3 linked regions of the Drosophila melanogaster genome follow. The protein of the gene in region 1 interacts with the protein of each later gene in a pairwise test. Each region holds a gene or a part of one and is shown in the gene's direction. Other genes may lie near its edges.

Region 1 (8,702 bases):
GATAGAAAAGCAAGAGGAAGAACGAAACAGCATCGGCGCGTTGGAGAAATGTGCGGGAAGAGAAGATTGAAAATAAACGTGTAGTAGAGAATTTTTGAGACACTCACACGCACACACTCCTCCCACACTCTTTCTCTCTGTCTCTCCGTCTATACCGCTTGCCGCCTACACACACACATACTTAAGTAGACGCACGAGAGTTCTCGTATCGCGAAAAGCGTGTGCTTTGTTGTTGCCTCTCCCACTCCCTCGCTCTAAGAGGCGCTCCCGTGTTGTTTTTGTTGTTATTGCCGCTGAGCAAATGGCAGACCCTCTAAGCGGGTGCCGCTGGTGATAACATGTCGTAATGGCCAGAGAGGTAAGTGCAAACGTGCTAAAAGCAAAGCAAAGCCGGCAACTACGGCTTAACCGTTTTAGTTTTCCCGATCACCACGGTACCGCAAGTTACTTTGCCAAAATCAGCTGTTCTCACTTCATCACCATCCCCCATCATTCACATCTGCAACCAACGGTGTTAGCCTCTCCCAACATTAAAACAGTTAACCCTATGTCATATTTTTCCAAAGAAGTTTAACCCAACACTACAACTTAATAATAAAAATGCTGCGTGTAACAAATAATTATTCTCTGTAGGAATGAATTTTTTAATTAAGCAGTAGAAACAAAATAATCAAAAATAATACTAGGTAATAGATTTTTTTTAATAACATGCAATTTGAACAAAGTAAAATTTATAATATATTTTAATATTTCTTTGACTTGGTCTTTGTAGATATTTTGTTCTTTACGTGGTCAGCTGAACGAAAGATAGGTTCTTTATAGAGCAACACAACAGGATGCATGAATAAATCAACTTCTAGAGAAGATTAGGCAAATTTTTATTTTGCTGCTTGAGTATGGGTGCAATGGATACGATTCATGCCTGGCCTAAACTACAGGCACTCTGCTCCATCTATGTGAATTTTTCATATGACAACCTTTGGCGAGTGTATCTAGCAAGGCGTATCGCTGCGGATGCTCCGCACTCGCGTCCGCATCCGCTAGAGAAACCTATTAAGCCTGTGGCCCGCATTAGTCTCTTTGTGTGCGTGTCCCTCAAGCTCCTGCTCTGCATATGTGTGTGTGTTTGTGCATGTTTTATGCAGTTCCTTCGTTTCGTTTTGCTTTGCGGGTGAGTGAATAGCTTTGACCCAAATAACTGAGGTAATACTTACGCCTCACAGATGTGCCACTCCCCCAACGCCCTCCTTTCCCGCCGCCTCCATCCCACGTGTGGCTGCAACTGTTGTTCTTCTTCCTCTTCTCGCGCCCCCTTTGAAAGGAATTTCGCTCTCTGGCCTTTCCAAAATTGTTGCTTTGAGAGGATGTCTCCAAAAATAAATTAGTTGCGAATTCCCAAAGCGCTGGAATTCCTTTAAGAGCTGATAAAAATGCAGCCGAGATGGCTTTCAGTTGGCAGTTGATCTGGCATTATTTAGGATAAACAAAACAACTTTATCTCTCCTTCTTCTTACTGCAATTAAAAATCTCGGCCAGCAGCAATTACAGGAGTTTTAGTGCTCTGTTATCCATTCACATTTACAGCTGGCAATGCTTTTGCGAGAGGTAGAGAGCTTCATATAAAAGTGCATCACTCTCTCTCTGTCTCACCCTTTTTATTAAAAGACTTCAATGTTTAATGCTAGAGTTTAAATGTCGAGCAAGATCAGGTCTAAAAGAAAGCTAAATATTTTCCTGGGGCACACAATCCAATAGCAACACTATTAATTGAACGCCGTTGATTGGAAGTAAATGTTTACAAAATCAAACTGATGGGATCTTATGAAATGCTGGTAAAGCGTTTCGAGGGAGAAGGTGCGCGCGCTTTGGCGTCCTGATTATATCACATTGATGCAAATGTAGGCCAAAGCACGACGAAATATCTTTACCTGTTAAAACATCGAAAATTATGGAAAAAAAGGTAGTAAATGGGAAATAGTGGGGTGGATAAAACAAATACGGTTTAATTGGGGACCTAAAAACTGAAGGCATTAAATTGACTAGATAGTAGTAACGGGATTTCTACCCCCACTCCTCCACCTGTCCTACTCGCTCTCGCAAAGCTTTGTGCTGCATTTCACCTCGTTCTCACTGCACTTCTCTCGCGCTTATGCCTCGTGCTCATTTCAAGCGCTGTTAACGCGCTGCAAAAACGCACCCAGCCCCAAAAGTCAAAGAAGAAGCAGCAGCAGAAGCAGCAGCTGCTACCGTAGTGAAATCCGATGCAGCATCTCGTCGGGAAAACTCACAGTTTGCTCTGCCAGGCTGCCAGGCACACAGGCAGCTAAGGACGCTGCTTTGGCCCGTGGAAACACCACGTTCCCACTGGGTGCTATAACTAAACAAATCAAGCGTTTTTCTACAAAATCAAGTTTCTAAAAACGAGCTATAATTAAGTCTAATAACTGGGACTCAGCATCAAATGAAAATGAAAACTCGGCGGTTTCACGGGCAAAAGGGCGCTGCAGGCGCGTAGTATCCGTAAAGTGAAAGTGCGAAGGTCAACCCGCCCTGACCTGCCCCAAAAATACGAATGCGAATGCGAATGCGAAGTACGAGCAGTGAAAAGCGAAATTCTAGGCACTTCAACTCTGCCAGTATTTACAACAAACTAAAGTAACCAAATAACGTGGACGATAACATTTATACCAGAAGCTGTATTTTGTGCAAAGTGCGTTTTTTTTTTCGTGACCCCCTTAACAATTTTTGTAATTACGAATTTTCCCCCTGAACGCAAGGCATTTATGACTCCAACAATAAGCAATAAGCTTTAATTTTTGTAGAACTTTTGGTAAAAGCATCCGCAACTCCGGATTTTGTAAGGCGTACATCGGTTACGGGTTTATATAACGGATTTTTAAAACGGACATGGATTACCAGAGCTTGGAGCTCCAAGTGTAAGACGACCTTGGAAGCGACGAGGCCAACCATTGCAAGCAAGCCAGCAGAGCCAGCGCAGAGACTCGGCCTAAAAGTGGCTGGCAGCAGCAGCACCACCAACAGCACCACCAGCACCACCATGTGGTCCAACGCCCTGTGCACGCTGGGCGTGACGAAGCCGCTCTGCAACTGTCTGAGCATCAGACAAGTGGCAGCCGCAGCTGCGGCGGCGGCCCAGGCCACGCAGGGCGTAGCTGCCTCTGCCGCGGCGGCGGGTGGGGCCGGAGTGGGTGGTGGGGCCATCACAACGGGGCCCTCGTCGTCGGTCACAAACGGCGGACTGTCCGCAATGGTAATAGTTTCGCTTTGCGACCCATACTTATTCAGTGTTTAGCTTTCATCGACTGCAAATGTCCTTCATTTCTAGATCAAACTCAATCTATTCCGTCCTTTATCCAGTTTGGTTTCCAATTCCACCTCCAATTCTAAATACCTCCTCAAATGCATTTCACACTGGTTAATCGAATAGCTTGTTGGGCAATACTGCTCAATAACTAGTTTAATGGTTTTTGGAAATTCATTTGAAATTATTCAACCTGTTGGTGGTTGGTTTGCCTCTTTTCTTGCATGAAATGAAATATCTTACTATTTTACTTAGGGAAGATAAAGCATCACCTTTAGCGTATGTTATACATTTTCTTTAGGTACTATTACCCACTTGTTTTCTAAAGTTTCCCCTTTTTTTAAAGCTAAGTCACACAATCTTAAAGTGCTACGATATTCAACCAGTTCTCCAACAATTGTTTTACGGCATAATATGATTTATCGAGCCTTAGAACTGGCAGTGCTCGCTGTTTATAGTATTATCAGTTTCATAATTTATAATAGCCAGCACATCCCCGACCCGCTGCACTCCCTCGGTGCCATATGGTGCTGGGGTGCAGCAACTGACCTATCCCAAGAGGAAAATCGGTGCGATGGTTTGGATGGAGAGGGATGAGGCGGCGAGTAGAGCACACAAAACACTGGCCAGAGCGAGGGAAATGAAATATTTTTATGAAAAGTTTCTGCTTGTTTTCGGTGCGGAGGAATAAGCAAAATGTCAACATGAATTTTTTGTAATTTTTCAAACATTTTATTTTGGGTGAACGGGCGGGGAATGAACTGGGGGATCGGTGGATCGGGGGATTTGGGGGCTTGGTTGGCCGAAGAGAGATATTTGTATATGGCTCGTGTGCTGCACTCGTTACTGGGTCACTGGAGCGCCACACTCATGTCCTTGCAATACATTAAACATTGCAGCTTTCGTCCTGCTCGGCTGGCTGGCTGGCTGGCTGGTCGTTGTTGTTGTTGCCTGCAACTGTTAGCCAACAGCTGTGCGCGCTGTTAGCCAAAAGGATTCGTTTTCAATTTTCTTTGGCCCTTTTTATATGTACATATATGTTTCCATTTTCAAGCATTAGCACTTGCATTTGCTTTATTTCGAATGTGAGGGCCGTGGATTTATTTCAACTTTTATTCCATAAGATATCTACAATTAATATGAGCAGTGCAGCAGTTGTGGCCTTGACATTTGCGCCCTTTTTGGCCAAGCCAGAGAAGCCCAATTAGCGGGCTGAGGAAATTATGACACAGTCCGGGCCTGCTGCCACACCCACTTGTCAGTTTTTCGTGCGCAGCGTTTCACAGGTGTCACGCCCATCCTGCACCCTGCACCCTGCATCCCACATCCCACATCCCCATCCTCCCACATCTCAGCTTTCACTTTCCCTTCCTTCGCCAGCAGTTGGAATTGTAATTCGTAAAACGCAACTAATCCGAATTTCTCTTCGCAGGAGTCTCGCGGCAAGAGACCACTGAAAATCTGGGACAGCTGGCGGAATGTGCGCAAGGGCGTCGTAGTTGGGACCTTCGAGGAGCTCTTGGTCCGCGGCAAGGATAAGCTGGGGGTTCCTGCTTCAGAACCGGTGCGCGTTGTTCTGGAGTGTGATGGAACCCAAATCGAGGATGGCGAATACTTTCGCACCCTGGCCAACAATACGGTGCTGCTGCTGTTAAGGCAGGGCGAGCGCTGGTATCCCACTGGCGTCGATGTCATAAAGGCTGGTGGGTGTAATAAGTTCACTCCCATCTCGGGATCAGTACTGGCCACGGGAAATTTAATTATAGATTTAGACCTGGTCAGAGGAAACATTCATTTAGATTCAATATTAAATTCAAATAAGTTATCACTGCGTAAATTATGAGCCTTACCCTTATAGCTAAATATTTGCAAAAAGTCTATTTCGATATTTGATCAAAGACTCTTTCAATTTCATTCAAATTGAATAACTAATTCATAGAGCAAGCATTTACTTTAGTACTTAGCACAACTTTCAATGTGGCTTGTTTGAATTGATTTCAAGGTCAATTGTTTGCGAATGAATTTAAATTCTTTTTATAGTTGGCTGAACTTATTCAATTTCTAAAGAACAGAAATTTAAACAATTCTTTGGACTATATCCTCTGTTTTGAGACACATTGGATCTTGAATGCAATAAATTTCAGCATGTTTTTAATGCGTTGGCAAGCTATTAAGATTTCCGCTGCTAGCATTGAATTGTAAACAAAAACGTAAGACGTAAAAATTAAACAAAAGAAAAATGCTATTTAGAGATTTAAATGACAGTCATTACAATTTCAAGAACATGGTCGTCCGATTCTTATACAAGTCTATTTAAGTGAATATCGTATTAGCTATTTTTTGAGGCGATAGTTGACCTTCTCATCATTCCGTACTGAACTTCAGTTGGGATTTCTCAGTGGTTCGGATCTCATTCTATTATTTTTCTTACAGCCATATCAGCTATACCGAAAATCGTCTGTGAGACGATTCATGCGCTGGAGTTGCACGATGAGACACCGTCGTGGAAGATCATGGATAACAAAGGGCGTGTCACGGTCGTTCTGCACTGGGATCAGCGGCAGGGTGGAGGAAGCGGCGGCGGAGGAGGAGGCGGTGGCGCCGGCGGCGGAGTGGGGAGCATGTGCTCCGGCCTGGGCAGCAGCAATGGGCTGCTGTCGTCCGATAAGTACTCGCCCTCAAAGAAGGGCCTCTCCGCGCAGAGTTCGCTGGACAACAAGTCGGTGTCGTCGCAGTCCTCCCAGCCGCGCTATGCCAGCCCTCAAATAACGGTGATCAGCGACGACGGACCGGCGAGCATATACCATCCCGGTGGCGTTGTTCTGCCGCCAGGAGTTGTGATACCCGGCGGCAGCAGGCGACTCTCCAAGCAGGGAAGCTCCTTCGACAGCACCGTAGGCGTGGGTGTGGGAGCTGTCCATGTGCACACGCCGGAATGCGCCCACCACGCCCACACGCCCAGCAGGGCGGGCAGTCCCAGCACCACCGAGTGCGACTTCCACTGCTGTGCGCTGCACGAGGAGGGGCGCAAGATCGCTGTGCACAAGAGCGTGGCCACGTCGCCCATCCAGGACGGAAGCAGCAGTCCCCAGCCGCAGTCGGCACCATCGGTTATGGATCCTATGCTGGGCGGCAGCGGTGGCGGCGGAAGCGGCAGCATGCAACGCCGCTCCTCGGGCGCCAAGGGCCATGTGCGATTCCTGGACATCGCTCCCGAGCGGGATAGCTCCGAGAGCGAAACGGAGAACACGGTGATGGAGGACGACAAGACGACGACGGAGAAGTTTCTGCTGCTGATCGACCAGTTGTCGGTGGACCAGAAGCGTCACCTCAGCATCAAGGACATCGGCATCATACTGGAACGCCTCAACTCCAAGATCCTTGACGTGGAGCGATTGGATCGCGAGTCCGAGTCAGACGACTGCTACAACTGGACGATAAAGGCGACAATACGCGGCGATGCGCTGCGCGAACTGGGCGTCATTTACAATGGCAATTACTATGCCATCTCTGAGCATCCTGGCTACAAGGAGGAGCTAGAGGAGAACGGCGAGGAGGTCGAGGAGGAGGAGGAAGAGGATGAGGAGGACAGAATTTAGAGTGCCAATGACAGGCAGACGGGCAAACCCACAGGTTCATGACTGTCCCACGTTGGGCGCCACAGAAGGTATCAATAAACTAGCGCATTTTACAGAAACCAAAACGAAAAAATGGAAAAACCCAAAATAAGAGTAGCCCAGCAGCTCGACACAAGAACACACACACAAACACACACCAACATGCATACATATATACATATATACTTATATAAAATAATTACGAGAATATAATAATGCAAGTCGCACATTGTACAATAGTGAAGTAAGCGTAAACGTGAATTATAAAAAGGCGAAAGCAAAGCAGCCACACACCCAGAAACACATACACCCATGCCCACAACAACAGCAACAAGCGCGAACCACTTAAGAGCAGTTTTTGTAGCATTTATCCAATATTCTCATTGACGGGGACCGACGTTACCATAAATCAGAAGCATGGCTGGTTGGAGACGTCGAAGAATATCACTGCACCGTCTGCAGCCAGCTTAACGAATTCTGAATTCGCAAAATTCAATTCAAACGCCCCAAAATTTAGCCCACAGATCAGTTGCAAGCCCCCAAATCAGCCATCCTTGTGTTGTTATCGTTGTTGTACAATAGATGTTCCGTGTTCCGTTGTGATTGTGTGCCAAAATAGCCTTATTTAGTTGGATAGCCCCACAAACAGACTGCCACTCGAGTCAGGAAATCTAATCTAACCCCAAAGACTATAAGTTGTGAAAGAGATATAGATAACAGAGACTATAAAATGTTGTTGCCAGAAAAACGATGATGACGCGGGGTCTAATTGTAGTTGGTCGGTCTCTCTTTTCCTATGTAGTGAGTTCCTCATTTTAATTTGCTTAACGAACCCCCAACCCGCATTTGTATAGTTCCTGGACAGCGTAACTCTCTGTTAGTGGCCTATTCTTTGTTAATCTTGTTGCATTTCTGCCCCCAAAGAAATTCCGGAAATCATCCGCATCAGCATGTAAAACTGCCGTTATTTGTAGTGTTGTCAAACGTTCAACAAATCGCGCACAATGTTAAAATTAAACACAGAGAATAGAAACAATAAGCAAGACGCTCGATGATGCTCGATGCTCGCCAAATGCCTGACGACAGACTAAAAAATTATGTGTAGTAGATAAAGACCGCCCCCGCATGGCCGACAGAATCAGCCGTAGATCCATTGGGAGTATGTATCAGAAGACATCACACGATCGCAATCGAAATCGTAATTGAAAAATGCGTAAAAGCGAAAACACTGCCAACATCGCCATTAGCATTCGCACCTGCATCCACATTCGTTGGGTTAGGCTTTCGACTTCCAGAACTTTGACTGTTCCATACGGGTATCAAGCAATCGGGATAAATTGAGAGAGCACTGGGTTGGAGGATTCTTGGCAAGGACATGGAAGGTTTAGGCGATGGATGTGCCAACGTAATGAATATAATACTATCGAAAGGAAGCACGTACGTTTTAGTGTGGGTAAACTAACCAATGAACCTAAACATTCTCTGAATTGTTTGAATATATTATGCTCCTAGTTTATACTTTATAGTTGATATTTGAAAATTATTATAACATCATTGTTCGACTTGTTTTGTTAATGTCACTTAGACTTGTTTTTACTGCAGACTTGAGTTCTTATTGTTAAGGCATCTCCCACTTGGGATTGCTATTCAGAAAGGGTCGTCATAGGTAGTCCATTGCAAACGTAGCTGGTCTACGTTGCTAGTCACTGTGTCCTGGATTAGATCTGTGTGCATTCGATTTAGAAACTTCCGCTGCGCAATTA
Region 2 (8,610 bases), 2.7 Mb from region 1:
CGTATGCATGCAAACTGCTCTTCCAGGAGTTGACCAGCATGAATGTGGTGCCGAAAATGATTTTGGAAAACTATTAACGATGCAATGGCCTGAAACCGAATAAAATAATTGTTATATAATAATAATGGTTAATGATGGAAACTAGCTTAGGTTTTCCAATATTTTTGTAAAAACGAATGGTGTGTGAACTCTGGCAAGGGCAAAAATCCTACGCATTCATTAAGTTTCCATGACCGCGAGCTGCAAATGTCAAAATGAAGAGGTTCAAACGAAGTCAGCGAAAGAAAGTCCTCTTGAATTTTAACGAGGTCCTTTTGCATATCAGCTTTCTGTTCGTTAACAGGCAGACGCAAGCTGTTACTGAAAAGGACTGAGCCGTGTTAAATCGCTTATGTTATCCTTTTTTTTTATTGCGCAAAGGATAATTAGTTGTGTCTGCCCTTTTGGCCGAATTTAAAACGTCTGTGTCTGGACAAAAGATTAAGTTGTTAAGATGAAATGTTTTTTGTTATTCTGTTTCTTTGTTTGCTCTTTGTCCTTATAATCCTCTATCTTATGTGTATTTTGTTTTTTGGCTCAGTTAAACTAAACATTCTCGAGCGGCTTGATGCTTCTTAGTAAAACCAATATCGCCAGGCGTTGATTTATTGTTTTCCCTCGATATTGCCTATTGCCTGATTGCCCGTGAGGCAATTACCTGTCACCTGGCTTCGAGGTGGAGCTCAACCCAGATTCCGGCCGATGTGTCAACGTGTCCGTGGTCAATGCACCGCGGTGCATGCACGTGACCTGCGAACTGCAGGCGACACAGCCACCCACACAAGCCAATGTCCTTGTGCGTCCTTTCGAGTGACCTGCGCTTAAAATAGTCACAGCTACCACCCACTGCTGCTTCTCCTCCGCAGGACACGTAGAAGTTACTATGTGCAGTGCAATGACAGCAAACGGGGCAAACTGCCAGCAGCAGAAGCAGCATCAGCATCCGAGGAACCAATGGTGCGCACTAGGATGACAATTTAAGGCTGCCCCATCTCTGATCTCCCCCATACTTGCATGCCCACCTCTTTTCCGGGCTATTCAGTACCGTTTTATACGTGGAAAAACTTTTGAGAATTATATAAAGTTAGTTGATATTCGTATGACTAAAAGAAAACTACTCATTCCTATTTATACCTACATACCTTTATCCTTTATGGAATCCATTTGCTCAATTAGGCGCTGATAAGTATGCAATAAGTTATAGTTTTTATTAGTTTTTAGTATCATAACAGAATCTTTATTTTTCGCCGTGCACAAACTGATGAGAACCCAATCTGGGGCCACCTTCCGGCTTTGGCTTTCCTTTCATGTATTTTGGCCATTTGTCAAAAGTTTGCTTTTTGCTCTTCTTATCTGGACGGTTCGTTGATGTGTGCATGGCAATAGATGTATATAGATTTAAATGGGTGTTGGCCACTTGTGTAGAAAGTTAAGCGTAGTCCAACTGCTCTTTTGGCCGGGTTCCAAGCGGGCGAGGGGATTTCGAATTGACAACACCGGATATCATTGGGCTGATAATGCGCAACCCCTCCCAATGGACTAATTGAATCCGAAAGCACCTTCCGATGGAAATAGAGATTAGATTGCTGGAATCACCTTAACTTTTCAGCCAGGATTGTTCCAGCAAACTCTTTGTGTTTTCTAGGGACTAGGCCACAGCCAAATGTTAACATATTCAGCGAGAGAGAACGTGTTTTTGACTATGTTTGTTTTCTCTTTGTAAGCTTTATGTTTCAATATATTTAAAATTCTAATCTGTTTAGTGTTTTCTTTTAGAAGCACATTATTACCTATTTTACAAAAAATTGATACAATATTAATTAATTAAATAACCAAAATCTACAGGGAATAATTTATAAAAAAAAAAATATAAAAAAAAAAAGTGTTAGGCTTCAAAAATATGTTTACTTATCATGATTAAAAAGAAACATGGCCAATAGGACATAAAACAAATATTATTTGAACCTATCAGTTAACATTCATTTAAAAGCGAGCACTCGCAGTTCGAACTCAACATCTGTTAGAAGCCCTTTCTCTGCGTATAAAAGGCAGTGCTTTTGAGCAAAACGCGCTCATTTCAAAACCGGTGCTCATCGCAACGAAAGCTCCGCTGCGGAGCCGAGAAAATATTGTTAATTCCCATTTGAAGTGCAGCTTGTGGAAGGAAATTCCAAGTTTGTTTGTTCGGACGCCGAGTGCAAGTGCAAGAAGCAAGCGAAAAGTAATCAAATCTATAGAAAAGTCATTTAATGTGGAGCAATTAAGCCTGGAAATAAAGTGCATAGTGAATAAGTAATTTAGTTGGAGCAAACAAAGCCATGGAGACTGCAGCGAACTCGGGCGACTCCAAAAAGCCTTTCAAAGTGAGTTCCCCCTGTAATTGTAAATGGAAATAAAGGCCGCAGACGAACAATTGCATTTTAAGTGCATGCATTATTTTCCTGGCATGTCCATTTTTGGGCGTTGTTGTTTTCGCCTTTGTTGTTGTTGGCCGCGTGCTGCGTTCGCTACTTTTTTTCCTTTTTTTTTGGATTCTTATGGAAACTGGGTTGAACTTCAGAACTCAAGAGAGCCAAAAGCTCAAGCTAAGAGAGTGCCGAAAGCTCAGTAATAAGCATTAACTGCCTGAAATTTGACTTTGCAAATTCAAAAACACTATTTAGTTGCTTTCTTTCTCTTTGTCCTTTTTTTTACATGTTTGTCTAGCTTTGCATTTGCCTTTTGATTCGAGTATTGGGAATTGTTTGCCTTTAGCATTTGTTTTACTTGACTGCTGGGCCATTGTTTCCTGTTTAATTTGTTTATCTGCCGCTTAAACAGCAGAAAGCTGTTTAAAGTATTATGGGGATGTAAAAAACGTGCTTAAGGTTGCAGAAAACCACTGGAAGTACATGCAGCTGACAACTCAAAGGAAACCAATAAACCACAAAGCTATTTAAATTGTCTGTGAAACACAGAAAACAACTTTCGTAAAACATGACTGGAGATAACATCCAGGAATTCCCTCCCCCACTTTATCCATTAAAATGCCGCTCCTTATTAAAATATTTAATTCAAAAACCACCAAACGCAAATCGGCTTAAAAGCTGTCAAATACCATGACAGCCATGAAAATGCCATTAAAAAGGGAAAACTTTTCATCCCGACATGTCGCTGTAATTAGCCAACAGCCACGCCCACGACCCGCCTCAGGCATTTTGTTAATAATTTATTAAACAATCTACATAATGCCGCGGCATAGTTCAAAAGCAATTTAAAGTTGTCGCCTAATTTCCCCAGCGACTCGAAAATCTGCGGCCTACGCCCATCAAATATTAAAATGTCCTGCGACTTGTGGATTCTGCCCGCATCTTGGATGCAGATGATAGAGTTCCTGGCACGTCTCCTTCGGCTGCTCCTAAAACGGAGCCAGACGCCGGAGGTCGTTGCACGTTCATCTACGTACGTATGTGTGGACCAGGACCCTCGGGTCCTGATGGCTGAGCAGCTCGAGTTAGTTGAGATTTATAAGCCCTCAACTCGCTGCTGCTCTACCAATTTGCCCAAGTCGTTTTGCATACACTTTTGTGTATAAACTGGTCTTCTAGAAAAACACTTAACTGATTTCATCTAGACTTTCACATACATTAGCCTGAACTTGTAGTGATGCTAGTTTGGAAATTTGTATCTTAAACAGTAGCAAGTAGGTAACATTTGTGTTTGCTCATTTCAATATTTAAATATTATTCTTATATTTAAATATTAAAAAATAAAGTTTTACTTACCACGATGTGCCAAAAATTTGCTCTTAATGATATAACCTAATAGCATTTCCATTCAAGAAACAACTTGAAACACTTTTGAAACATGTTTACTTTCCGAATAAATCTTGTTTCTGATTTGTATAAGCTTTGTATAATTTTGCGGGTAATTAGATAAACTGCTAATTGAATTGCGACCGCTTGAAAAATCGACGCCACTTGAAAAATCAACTAATGCGATCGACTAAAACTTTTGACAAGTTTCCGAACAAAAACTATGCTTTTGTTTTCGATGCTGCCGCGACTCCCACTTGTCAAATGCGCCAGTAGTTGGGCAAAGTTTTCATTGTTACAAAGTTCTAGCCCCACACGCCGCATTCATGATATGATTAATATTTGGAGCTTTCGCGGCACAAAAGTTATGTGGCTTTAAGTATTTATAAGATAATTTAGGGACGACCTCCTCCGCTATCTGAGCAAATGGAATTGGGATGATAGAGCAGCTAGGCGCACGAGTAAAATGAAATGTTCGAAATGCAAACTCGAGTACAATTTCATTTAGTCACGGTGCTCTCAAATATTCATGAAGGACCTCAAGGAGTTGCACGCTGTCCGACGTTTCGGGGCTATAAATTCTGGGTGGAATGCATTCGTGCCGCTTGCTCCCTTAAAGTTGCGCCTCCTTGAGCCTCCATCTGGACGGGTCTAATTTATGTTTCGTTTAACCTTAGTGCTGAGGCATCATTTAACATCGCATGCAAGTTTAATAGAGCCAAAGGCTTGCGTCCTTCGTCCTTGCAACCGGCGAACAGCACTAACCTATGGCATTCGCGAAGGAGCATGCAGCATGAAGAATGCTGACATGCATAACTTGTCAAATAAAAAGAAAATTTAAAAGGATACGCCAGGGAATCGGGGAGTGGGAGATAAACGACAAATATTTGCACCGCAGCTGCTAGAGTGCATGTCAAACTGCGTTCGAGATCTCGAGCAAAAGTAGAGGAGCTCATGGAACTCGGCATTCGCAACTGAAATATGCACAAAGTCGTCGGGCTGTGGGAGGCACTTTAAGGTGGTGACATCCCCCACCGGGAAAAAGCCGTCCATAAATCTCAATTAGAGCAAATGGACATTTGACAGCAGGACATGACGTGGTCGCAAATATTGCGTTCATTTATTCATTGCGATTTTTCGGGGAATGGAAAACAATCAGCGTCGAAATGTGGTTGTGTATTTATTATTTAGCAACTTGCGCTACTATTTATCTTTTCTCTTTGTTTAATGGAATTTTCAAAGATTGCCTAATTAAATAACTATAAAAACAGGGTAAAGTTTGCGTTGAAAAGAGAAACAGACTGAATAATTAAGTGCAAGCGGGAGGATAATGAATAAATCAGGCGGAAAGTTTCCATAGTTTCTCCATTCCGTTCACGTTGTTGTCTCAAGAAAAAGGGTGCAGCTAAAGGAAAATTTACAACTTTTCCCATTTCGATGTTTTTCCGTTTTCTTATTTTGGGTGCCGACGATGTGAATATTTTATAGGACCTCAGTTGTTTCCCATCTGACATTAATTTATTATTCATTTGATGAGCGGGGCCATGTGTAACTGCTACTGTCTCCGTAATTGCAAACGTGTAATGGTTTATTATTCCCTTTTCCCGGCACTGTCCTTCTGCGTTTTTATGGCCAGGTCAAGGACGTAACACGCAACATTAAGAAGGCTGTCTGCGCCTCCAGTCTGGAGGAGATCCGCAGCAAGGTGGCGGAGAAGTTCGAGAAGTGCGACCACCTGCCCACCATCCACCTGGACTCCGACGGCACGGAGATCGATGATGAGGAGTACTTTCGCACCCTCGACGAGAATACGGAACTGGTGGCCGTCTTTCCCGGAGAACATTGGATCGATGTGAGTAGCCCTTAAATAAAAGGAAAAGGAAAACAGGCACTTAAAAATAATTATATCAGCACCTTTTTTATTTAAATCACCTCAATAAATTCGTTTTGCGATTGTGTAATTTTCATTTCTCAAAGTGAACACCGCTTAATTGGATAGCTCATTTTATGTGTCCCTCCTTTTATCTGCCATAATGACTAATTGCATTATTTCTTGAATGCCATGAAAGAGCTCCATGAGCATGGGACCAAAGCCAGGAAGATTAAATTAAATGCTATCTGCACTCTGTTTATAGCCCACTCACTACGTGACGATAACCACTCCACATGGCAACGAGGCAGGAACTGGAAACGGAGAGCTGAACGGAGGAGGCGAGGGCGACACCACCGATGCCAACAACTCGGAGTCGGCTCGCATCCGCCAGTTGGTGGGCCAGCTGCAGAACAACCTCTGCAACGTGTCCGTGATGAACGATGCCGATCTGGACTCACTCTCCAACATGGATCCCAACTCGTTGGTGGACATCACGGGAAAGGAGTTTATGGAGCAGCTCAAGGATGCGGGAAGGTGAGTTTAATTCCTTTCCCATATACCACTTAATTGTAGCATGATTTCATGACTTTAGGCCATTGTGTGCCAAGCGGAATGCCGAGGATCGTTTAAATCTGCTGAAGCTATTGAAAGCTGGTGCCATTTTCTGCTCGGAACGTTATCCCGAGGATGCGGAGGCCATTGACCGGGAGATTGGACGGCAGTTGAACGAGGCGGAGAGTGGACAGATGAGCACCACAACGACGAGCAACACCCGCACCATCGAGGTGGTGCAGTGCGACAATCAAAACACGACGATAACAATTACGGTGGGCGAGGCCACCACCACTTGCGCCACAGCCAGTGGAGCGATGGGATCCTCCGCTGCCGAAGCGGCTGCCAATGAGGCCAATGCCAATCCAAATAGAAATCCAAATGCCAACGGCGACATCTGACTGCCCATTTTGGGCAGTCTTAGGTAAAGTCTGCCGGCGGAAAACTAACGCAACTGGGTGCGCCAATCAAAATCAAGAGCCAAAAGGATATACCGAAGACATCAGTCCTGCAACATTGGGTTAACATAAATCGTATTTGTAGCATGTAATTAGGCACTGCGAAATCAGCAAAAACGAAACGGAGACGAAATCAAGTCATTGAAAATGCTTCATAGTATCTAAGAGCAAATGAAAGTTAACGAACAATACACGTACTAGATTTAAACACCGGGTCACGAGGCTCAAGAGAACAAGAGGCCCGCGCAGATTTGAAAAGTCTTTTAGCAATCACAGTCAGCGGAATCGTATTTAACCGCATATACACGAGTCACACCAAGCCGTACTAGATGAATAATAATCAAAGGTTAGCGAAATAAGTATTATACTTGAGGTAGAATCCCACAACCAGAGCGAACCCCAATTGGATGGAGTTGTCCCAGGAAACTGTTGATTTGCTTACCGTGTAAATTGTGTTACGAATAGTAGGTAGAGTGGAAACGCACATCAAATATTGTTTTTAGACCAATGCCATTGTGAATGTCATTCGTTAAAGGCCAATTGAGACTGACTGAATTTATGTGTAATAGGTTTTTTCGTGGTTTGAGCGGTTCGGGAAAGATCGGATGGAAGCCTCCAGCGCTGCTGCCCTGTCCTCCCAGAATCCCCGTCTTCCCGCCCCCGAATCCATAGCCAAATGAATTTAAGCGACAGCGCAAACATTGTTAGCTAATTAAACAATAATGGAACACAATAACGCAAATTGCAATTGCCCAATCAAAGTTGGTAACTGTAACTGTCTACAATTCGAATAAGCAATAAGGGAAACCGTAAACGTAAACGAAATCTAAAACCGAATGCAAACAGTGAACAATTATTAAATATAGTGAAAAGCATACAGTAAATGCAAGTGAAAACCCCGAGGCAAACTATATACACGAAACCAAGTAATAAATAAATGATTATTAAACTAAAGTTGATTGAACTAGCATAACTGGCAAACGGGGCGTATGCGCAACGCACAAAGCGTGTGCAACAGGGCGTATGGACTGCATCCTGCTCTTCCGCTGGCAAAAGAGAGTTTCCCCTTCCTTCACCGCTTCTTCCATTTCCCTTTTTTCCAGTTCGAGAGAGCAAGAGAGTGGGAGTCCTACACCTGCTGCTGCCATATAATTGCATTACTCGACGCCATTCTCTTTTGCCATTCAACTTCCTTCGTGACGTCACTGCACCATGACGTTTGCAGGTCCTGGCTAGCTGATTGCGATGGCCTACTAACACAGTTCAAAGCTCCCGGGTGACCCAAATTCGTGACGACAGCGCCCCACAGCAAGGGTCTCTTTGTGGGCGTGGCCCTGGCTTTGATGAATTGAATCCAGCGTCCTGTGGCCTTTGCATACTCAATATCCCCTACTAACACAGCACATCCCTTTTTCGGTTCCCATTCCTTGGCTGCTCTTTTAATTTGCGCCCTCGACGATTTTCATCCTGCTGGCAGGGGAAAAAAGAAAAATCATGGGGCGAAAAGTGCCCAAAAATATTAAAAATGTAACTGAAAATCGCTTTGACTGCTTTTGATGTGTATGATGGCATTTACGGTGGGCTGCCTGGCCAAGAAATTGTCACACACACTTGAGTTTGTAATTCTTTTGATGTTGTCCTGCAGATTAAGAGGAAGTGCCGGAAGAGGAAATGGAAACTTAATCGAAAGCAATCTGAGCTTCGAGCGAACCGATTTTGGTCCTTTGAATAAAAAAAGACTCTTATTGAAAATTATTCAGTAGTCAGGCATTTTATTTAACAAGTCTAGTACGAATAATTTAGATAAAAAGTTATACAATTAGTTAGAAAATTACGTTCAAGTAAAAATCTTAAGACTTCATTTCAAGTAAATTTTGTACGTTTGTTTCCTAAA
Region 3 (5,565 bases), 2.8 Mb from region 1:
ACAGGCGATTGACCTTTCGCCGCCGCCGCAGCAGCAGCAGCAGCAGCAGGGTGCAGATGTGGCAGCCAGCTTAAAGGAGCTGCAAGGGGAGATGGCGCATCCATTGGGCAGCCAGTGCATCAGCGATTGCCTCGCCGAGAAGGGCAACCTAGTGCCGGATCAACTGGGTGAATGTCAGCAGGTCGAGCAGCAGTTCGACTGTACACTGTACTGCATGTTTGATGTAGAGCCGCGCTATTAAGCCATTAACCGATATAGTGCAAATACGCACAGGCTTGCTGGCCATTAAACCAATTATGGCCAGGACCGTTGCACGTAGGTATCCTTACACAGGAAATACACAAAATAATGAAGTATGCCATTAAGGGGGGGAAATGTAATTGCTTGTTACATGGCGGCAAGGTCGATGCCAGTGCTTTTTTTCTCTCATTATTTTCCATTTCACATTTATTTTAATTTAATTAAAATGTTTGCCATTTTCTTTTATACATTTTTGGTTTGCCCCGCATCGAAATGCTATTTTTTTCCATTTAATTTCATTTAGACTGCTGACAGCAGGCGCAAATATTTGGCATTTACCCGTACCACTGCCTTATGTGTTTTTCGCCTGACGAGTTTTTGGCGAAAAGTGCCACATATCCAAGGACCAGGATCAGAGGCCATTTATCATCGCCACATGCGGCGGCATGACCTTTCCGACGACATGTGAGTTAATTAATCTAACTGGCCAGACGGCCAAGGTCGTGCATCGCAATTAAACATGGCAGCTGATGATGAAGGGAATTTACCTTCGCGACCAGACGCATAAATTTCAATTTGCACCTATGCATTTAAATTGATGGCGATGGAGGTCCTGCAGCAGGACCAGCATGCTGCATATGCGAAATGCGAATAGTTGTTCGCGCCGCGCTTCAATGCGCAATTAGCGGACCATGGCCCATAAATTATTTGACCCGCCGGCGGGGGAAAATGGGAAATGGAAAATGGCGGACGGAAATGAATGCCCAGCAGGGCGAATAAACAGATGAGCGTGCAAAATTCGCCCAGCAATCCGAATCCGCTTGGGCCTAAAGTATGCACTTCAGGTAGTTGGGACAAGGACCAGGCTCAAAATGCGTAAACGAGATAACAGGCCCACAGATATATTGTTATCCATCACGTGACTGCAGTTGGAATCACGTGCTCAGTCCATGTTCAATGCCGAACTTCCGTAAGCGGGCGCAATCAAATTAACCTTGGCTCACGCGGCGTATGCGCAATATTTCAGCCATTTAAGCCCAGTGCTGTGATAAATGCAGCTAAGTGGCTTTGTTTGCTCCCAATGCGAACAAATTCGATCGACGTACAGCGTCTCATGCATTTTAAATATTCCGCCAATGCAAATGCCAATAAATCTCGGCTTTTGTCTCGCCCTCAAAGGCAATGCACCTTTGTTGAAAACTTTTGCCCAGCTCTGGGATGCTTTAATTATGCAGCCAGCAGCAGTCTCATTATGCCGAAGTGACATTTTTCAGCTGGACGCCAGAGTTTTTCGCCGAAATTGCAAACTTTATTTTTATTGCATTTTTAAACTTTGCCCTTAAGCGCCTGAAAGTTCAGGCTAAAATATTTATATTTGCCATCACGCCCCGCAAATACACTGTGCTGTTTGTATTCGTTTTTATCTTCTTGTGGTCCCGGCTAAGTAGAACTATTTGCAGCTGCTCCAGTAAACTTTTCCCACCTTCCAGGTCATAGAATCCCGATCCCAGGCCAGAGTTCTTTTGTGCCAACTTTACTTTATCCGGCATAGGGTCTATGCTTCTGGCCCGGCACGCCCAGCGTGTCCTGGCTAACAGGAGCCTTAACAGAGCGCTCGCTCTCTCTCTCTCTCTCTCTCTTTGCCTCTCTTTGCGAGTGTCCTGCTCTCACGGCCAAAGCTCCGCGAAGGTTAGACTTTGCTGTGTGTTTGCAGGACCTGCTGACTTTGCGCCGTGTGTGTTTGCGCTGGCCGAGGCTGTCGGCAAACTCGACGAGTCCTGCCACGTTTAAATACAGCACGCACAGACGTCTGGCAATTTATTCCAAGTTCGGCCGGCTTTTGTTGCACTTGGCTGCTGTGAGTAGTCGGCTCGCGATCTCAGCCAGAATCGCGTATTGTAATTGTTGCCGGAAGATGTGAAGAATTCGGTTTTTAACTTAAAGTGCACGGTAATGAGAAACAAAATGTTGCTTCTAGAGTTCAGAGTATATAAACCAACTATCTTTTTGTCTAAAAGAGGCTTGTGGAAATTATGGAAAATAATTAGTTTAGCTTTCATGATAAAAAACAACAAGCAAGCACATGCAAACTATATTCTTTTAGACTTATAATTGCCTCTATAAATTTAAATGAAGTTTTACCAAACAAAAAAGTTGGCCAATTATATTCGTTTGAAAAACTCTAAACACGTTTCTGCATCGTCATATATGGAGCTTTACTATCAAATACAGGACACCAAAATTGAAATAGTGCAAATTACATTACTATATAAAATTAAAAAAATAATAATATTTTGTAGATATTTTTTTTAAGTCGTTGGTAAAAATGTACAGTATTTAAAGAGCCGATGGTGAAATTGTAATGCAATAACATTCCATGGTCTCCTTCTTTTTTTTTTGGTCTCTATAAACTTCGTTTTCTATGTGGCTTTAAGGTCAAGCAATTTCAGCAATTGCAAAACTTTTTTAAATCAAAGCCAAAACAAAGGCCAAACAACGATTTCGTTATAAATTTTCCGGTCGAAGCAAACAACGTACACGCGTATATGAAATAACAATAACACAAAGTCTGGCAGTTTTAGTATGCTTGGCTCAGCTTTGAAAGCATCCCCGAATGCCATACAGCATATTTCAATTATCGTCTAAATTTGTTTTGCTCGTCATAAATCTCTTTCTCTTTCGACCATGTTTTTCAACCAGTGCAGCAAGGAGTCCAGACAAGGCGAACAAACTCTCGAGACGAGGTAAATACATGACAGCAATGAATGCGGATGAGACAAAGCTGGCTGGAATGCCTCAAGGAGCTGAGGAGGAGCAGGAACCGGAGAGGGAGCAGAAGAAGGAGAGCGATGGAGCAGCAGCTGCAGCAGGAGTACAGTGTGATCCTGATAGCAGAATAGTGGCTCCGCCGCCCAGGCAGCGGACTCTGACAAGGACGGCCGAACTGGACGCGGACTGCGAGGACATCGAGTTAGATGCCGACGATGGTTTGGACGATGCGGCGGATAGCATCACCTTGGAGTTGGCCCTATCGCCGCACAGCAGCGCCACGCCCACGCCCTCGCCCACCACCGCCGACGAGGATTTCGCCCAGCTGGACAACAGCAAGCCCTTCAAGGTGGGTATTCCACTCGCTACTCGCACATCCTTCATGTCCTTTGTGGCATTTAGCCACGCTACCTGGCGCCCCGTCATCTGGGCCAGCATTTCGTTAAGTGATTACTGCGGTGCTATTGTTACGCTTGATGGGTATATAGTAAAAAAAAAATAGAAAAAATTAAACTGAAAATGGAGGAAAAAGTTTGACGGTCAGGACGAACAAAGTGAAGGGTTCCCCGACGGAACGGCCACTTCAAAGCCTTCGGCGTTGAGTGGCATCATCGACATTGGCACTGCTGCTGAAGTGTTGCTACCGGTGCTTTATTCGCCCTTTAAGCATTCGTCCAACTTTTCAATTCGCTGCAAGAGTTGGTGCGGGAAAAAATCCGGGAAAACAGAGCTGTTTCCTTTTGCCCTACCAGCAGCCCACTCCGCACTGCCTTCACCATGGCAAACTCCATTTGATTGTGAGGATTGCGTGGCCCTGCCCAATTTGGAGCACAGAAAGAAATGATTAGGGTCACAAATAGTCGCTGTCAATTCTGCAAAGTTTACGAAACAATTTACGCATCCGTTTACCTATTTACGAAACTTTTAACTCTAAAAACTGTGTGTGAAAGATACAACACATCGACACTTGCAAGAATAAAACGATTCTGTTTAGTATTGATATGATTTAACTTAATTGAACTTGAATGTCCTTATTTTGATGATCCTATATCCAATTACCCACTTATAGTAAGCCATGCTCAGTAAATCACTAACACTATCAATACAATATAGTATAGACCATATTTCACCCTCTACTCAGATTAGCTTCTTGCAAATTTTTTGCCTGTGTGGCTGGTCAACAATGAAAATTTAATTAAAATGTTCAAACTGTTCAGTTGCATAGGGTAGTGGGATCAGGATGCGGGCGCCCAATTGTCTCGTATATCATTGTGGGCCAGCCAGCTGGCCAATCATCCAGCCATTCCGCCAATCGCCTCCAGTGCCACGCCCACATCTAAGCCGCCTTGTGGCGTCTGTGTGGGCGGCGATAACTATAAGTAGGTGTCTTGGCCACGCCAGCTGAACACCCTAATCGATGTATTGTGTGTTAACGGCATCAGAGCGATGGCCATAACAATATAAACTGGCCAAAAGATCGGCGTCTACGAGATATCAAGTGGCTGTAAATTTGCCAGGCGAAAGCAATTAATTGACGGCTTGACGTGGCCGAAACGCGATGTCATTTGTCAGTGGCAACCGACCGGTGATGATGATGATGATGGGTGAGCGTGGGCCACGTGACGTATGCGTAATTCATGCGCATTCCAGCTAATTAATAAGCCTCCATCTTGTCTGCCATCTGACACGGGCATCTTCTTTATCGAGCTCTCGGGGAAATTGCCAAGGTTCTGATTAAAAACACTGGATGATATAATCCTGGAGATATAATCCCTTTGACTAATTCCAGAAACAACTAAATGAGAGTGAAAATTAAGGAAAGGGTTGGTAGTCAGAGGCCAACACATGAATGCGTGAGGTAGGGTTAATAATATCCTGTGTTCACGTATTGGCCCTTAGGTTCTTCTCGGTATGAAAATAATTTGCATCTCTTCTACTTAATATCAGATAGTTCAATTAATTCGATGGTTACCATGACTGATTTGCAGTTTGGTTTACTCACAAGGTTAAATTGGTTTAGATCTACCGCTGAACTGAAAACTCATAGCAGTGCTGCCACACAGAAAGACATTTTTGACTTGAAAATATGAATACCTTAAAAAACAGCTGGAATTCAGTTCAGAAACTAAATCAAAATATATGAAATAAAGGAAAATTTGATTGGAAAAGAGCTAAGTCGGCAACAGTGCCTACTAGAGACTTCAGTTGGCTGCGTACCAAATTATTTTACTTCGCATGCAGTTTTAGTTAATATTTTGCTTAAGGAAATTCTGTGGTTGCCCAGAACACTTCTGGTCCTGGCAGAAAATTAGATTCCTGTAAAACAAATCTCATTGGGCGAGGAAAAATCCAGCTTTCATTTTCCCCACTGGCGTAACGCGCAAATGTGTTTTTCATGTCACAGTCATTTGGGGTCCACAGTCCACCTACGGGCATCACCTTTCGGTGGGTGTCTGCAAATGCAAATGGTTTAAAAATAAAGCCTGATCCATTCGTTATGGAGAGGTTTACATGAAAGTTGGGTCGGATATTAAATTAGCAGACATGCCGCATGGA

The links. Proteins that work in one complex are often made in the same cells at the same time.
Region 2: the proteins of Drep2 (region 1) and Drep1 interact in a two-hybrid assay, tested with the Drosophila melanogaster proteins (2 studies listed by BioGRID).
Region 3: the proteins of Drep2 (region 1) and Drep3 interact in a two-hybrid assay, tested with the Drosophila melanogaster proteins (2 studies listed by BioGRID).

What each region holds. Positions count from the first base shown.
Region 1 is NT_033778.4:9,292,512-9,301,213, forward strand, and holds the start of Drep2 (DNA fragmentation factor-related protein 2), read left to right. Parts: upstream 1-2,283; 5' UTR 2,284-3,058; coding exon 3,059-3,271; intron 3,272-4,754; coding exon 4,755-5,025; intron 5,026-5,755; coding exon 5,756-6,921; 3' UTR 6,922-8,702.
Region 2 is NT_033778.4:12,042,507-12,051,116, forward strand, and holds Drep1 (DNA fragmentation factor-related protein 1), read left to right. Parts: upstream 1-2,105; 5' UTR 2,106-2,357; coding exon 2,358-2,402; intron 2,403-5,469; coding exon 5,470-5,685; intron 5,686-5,968; coding exon 5,969-6,240; intron 6,241-6,298; coding exon 6,299-6,659; coding exon of another isoform or gene 6,660-6,686; 3' UTR 6,687-7,666; downstream 7,667-8,610. Other genes in the region: Polr3B (RNA polymerase III subunit B), read left to right, coding at 1-77.
Region 3 is NT_033778.4:12,053,029-12,058,593, forward strand, and holds the start of Drep3 (DNA fragmentation factor-related protein 3), read left to right. Parts: upstream 1-2,060; 5' UTR 2,061-2,190; intron 2,191-2,940; exon of another isoform or gene 2,941-2,945; 5' UTR 2,946-2,992; coding exon 2,993-3,358; exon of another isoform or gene 3,359-3,519; intron 3,520-5,565. Other genes in the region: CG44314 (uncharacterized protein), read left to right, coding at 1-241.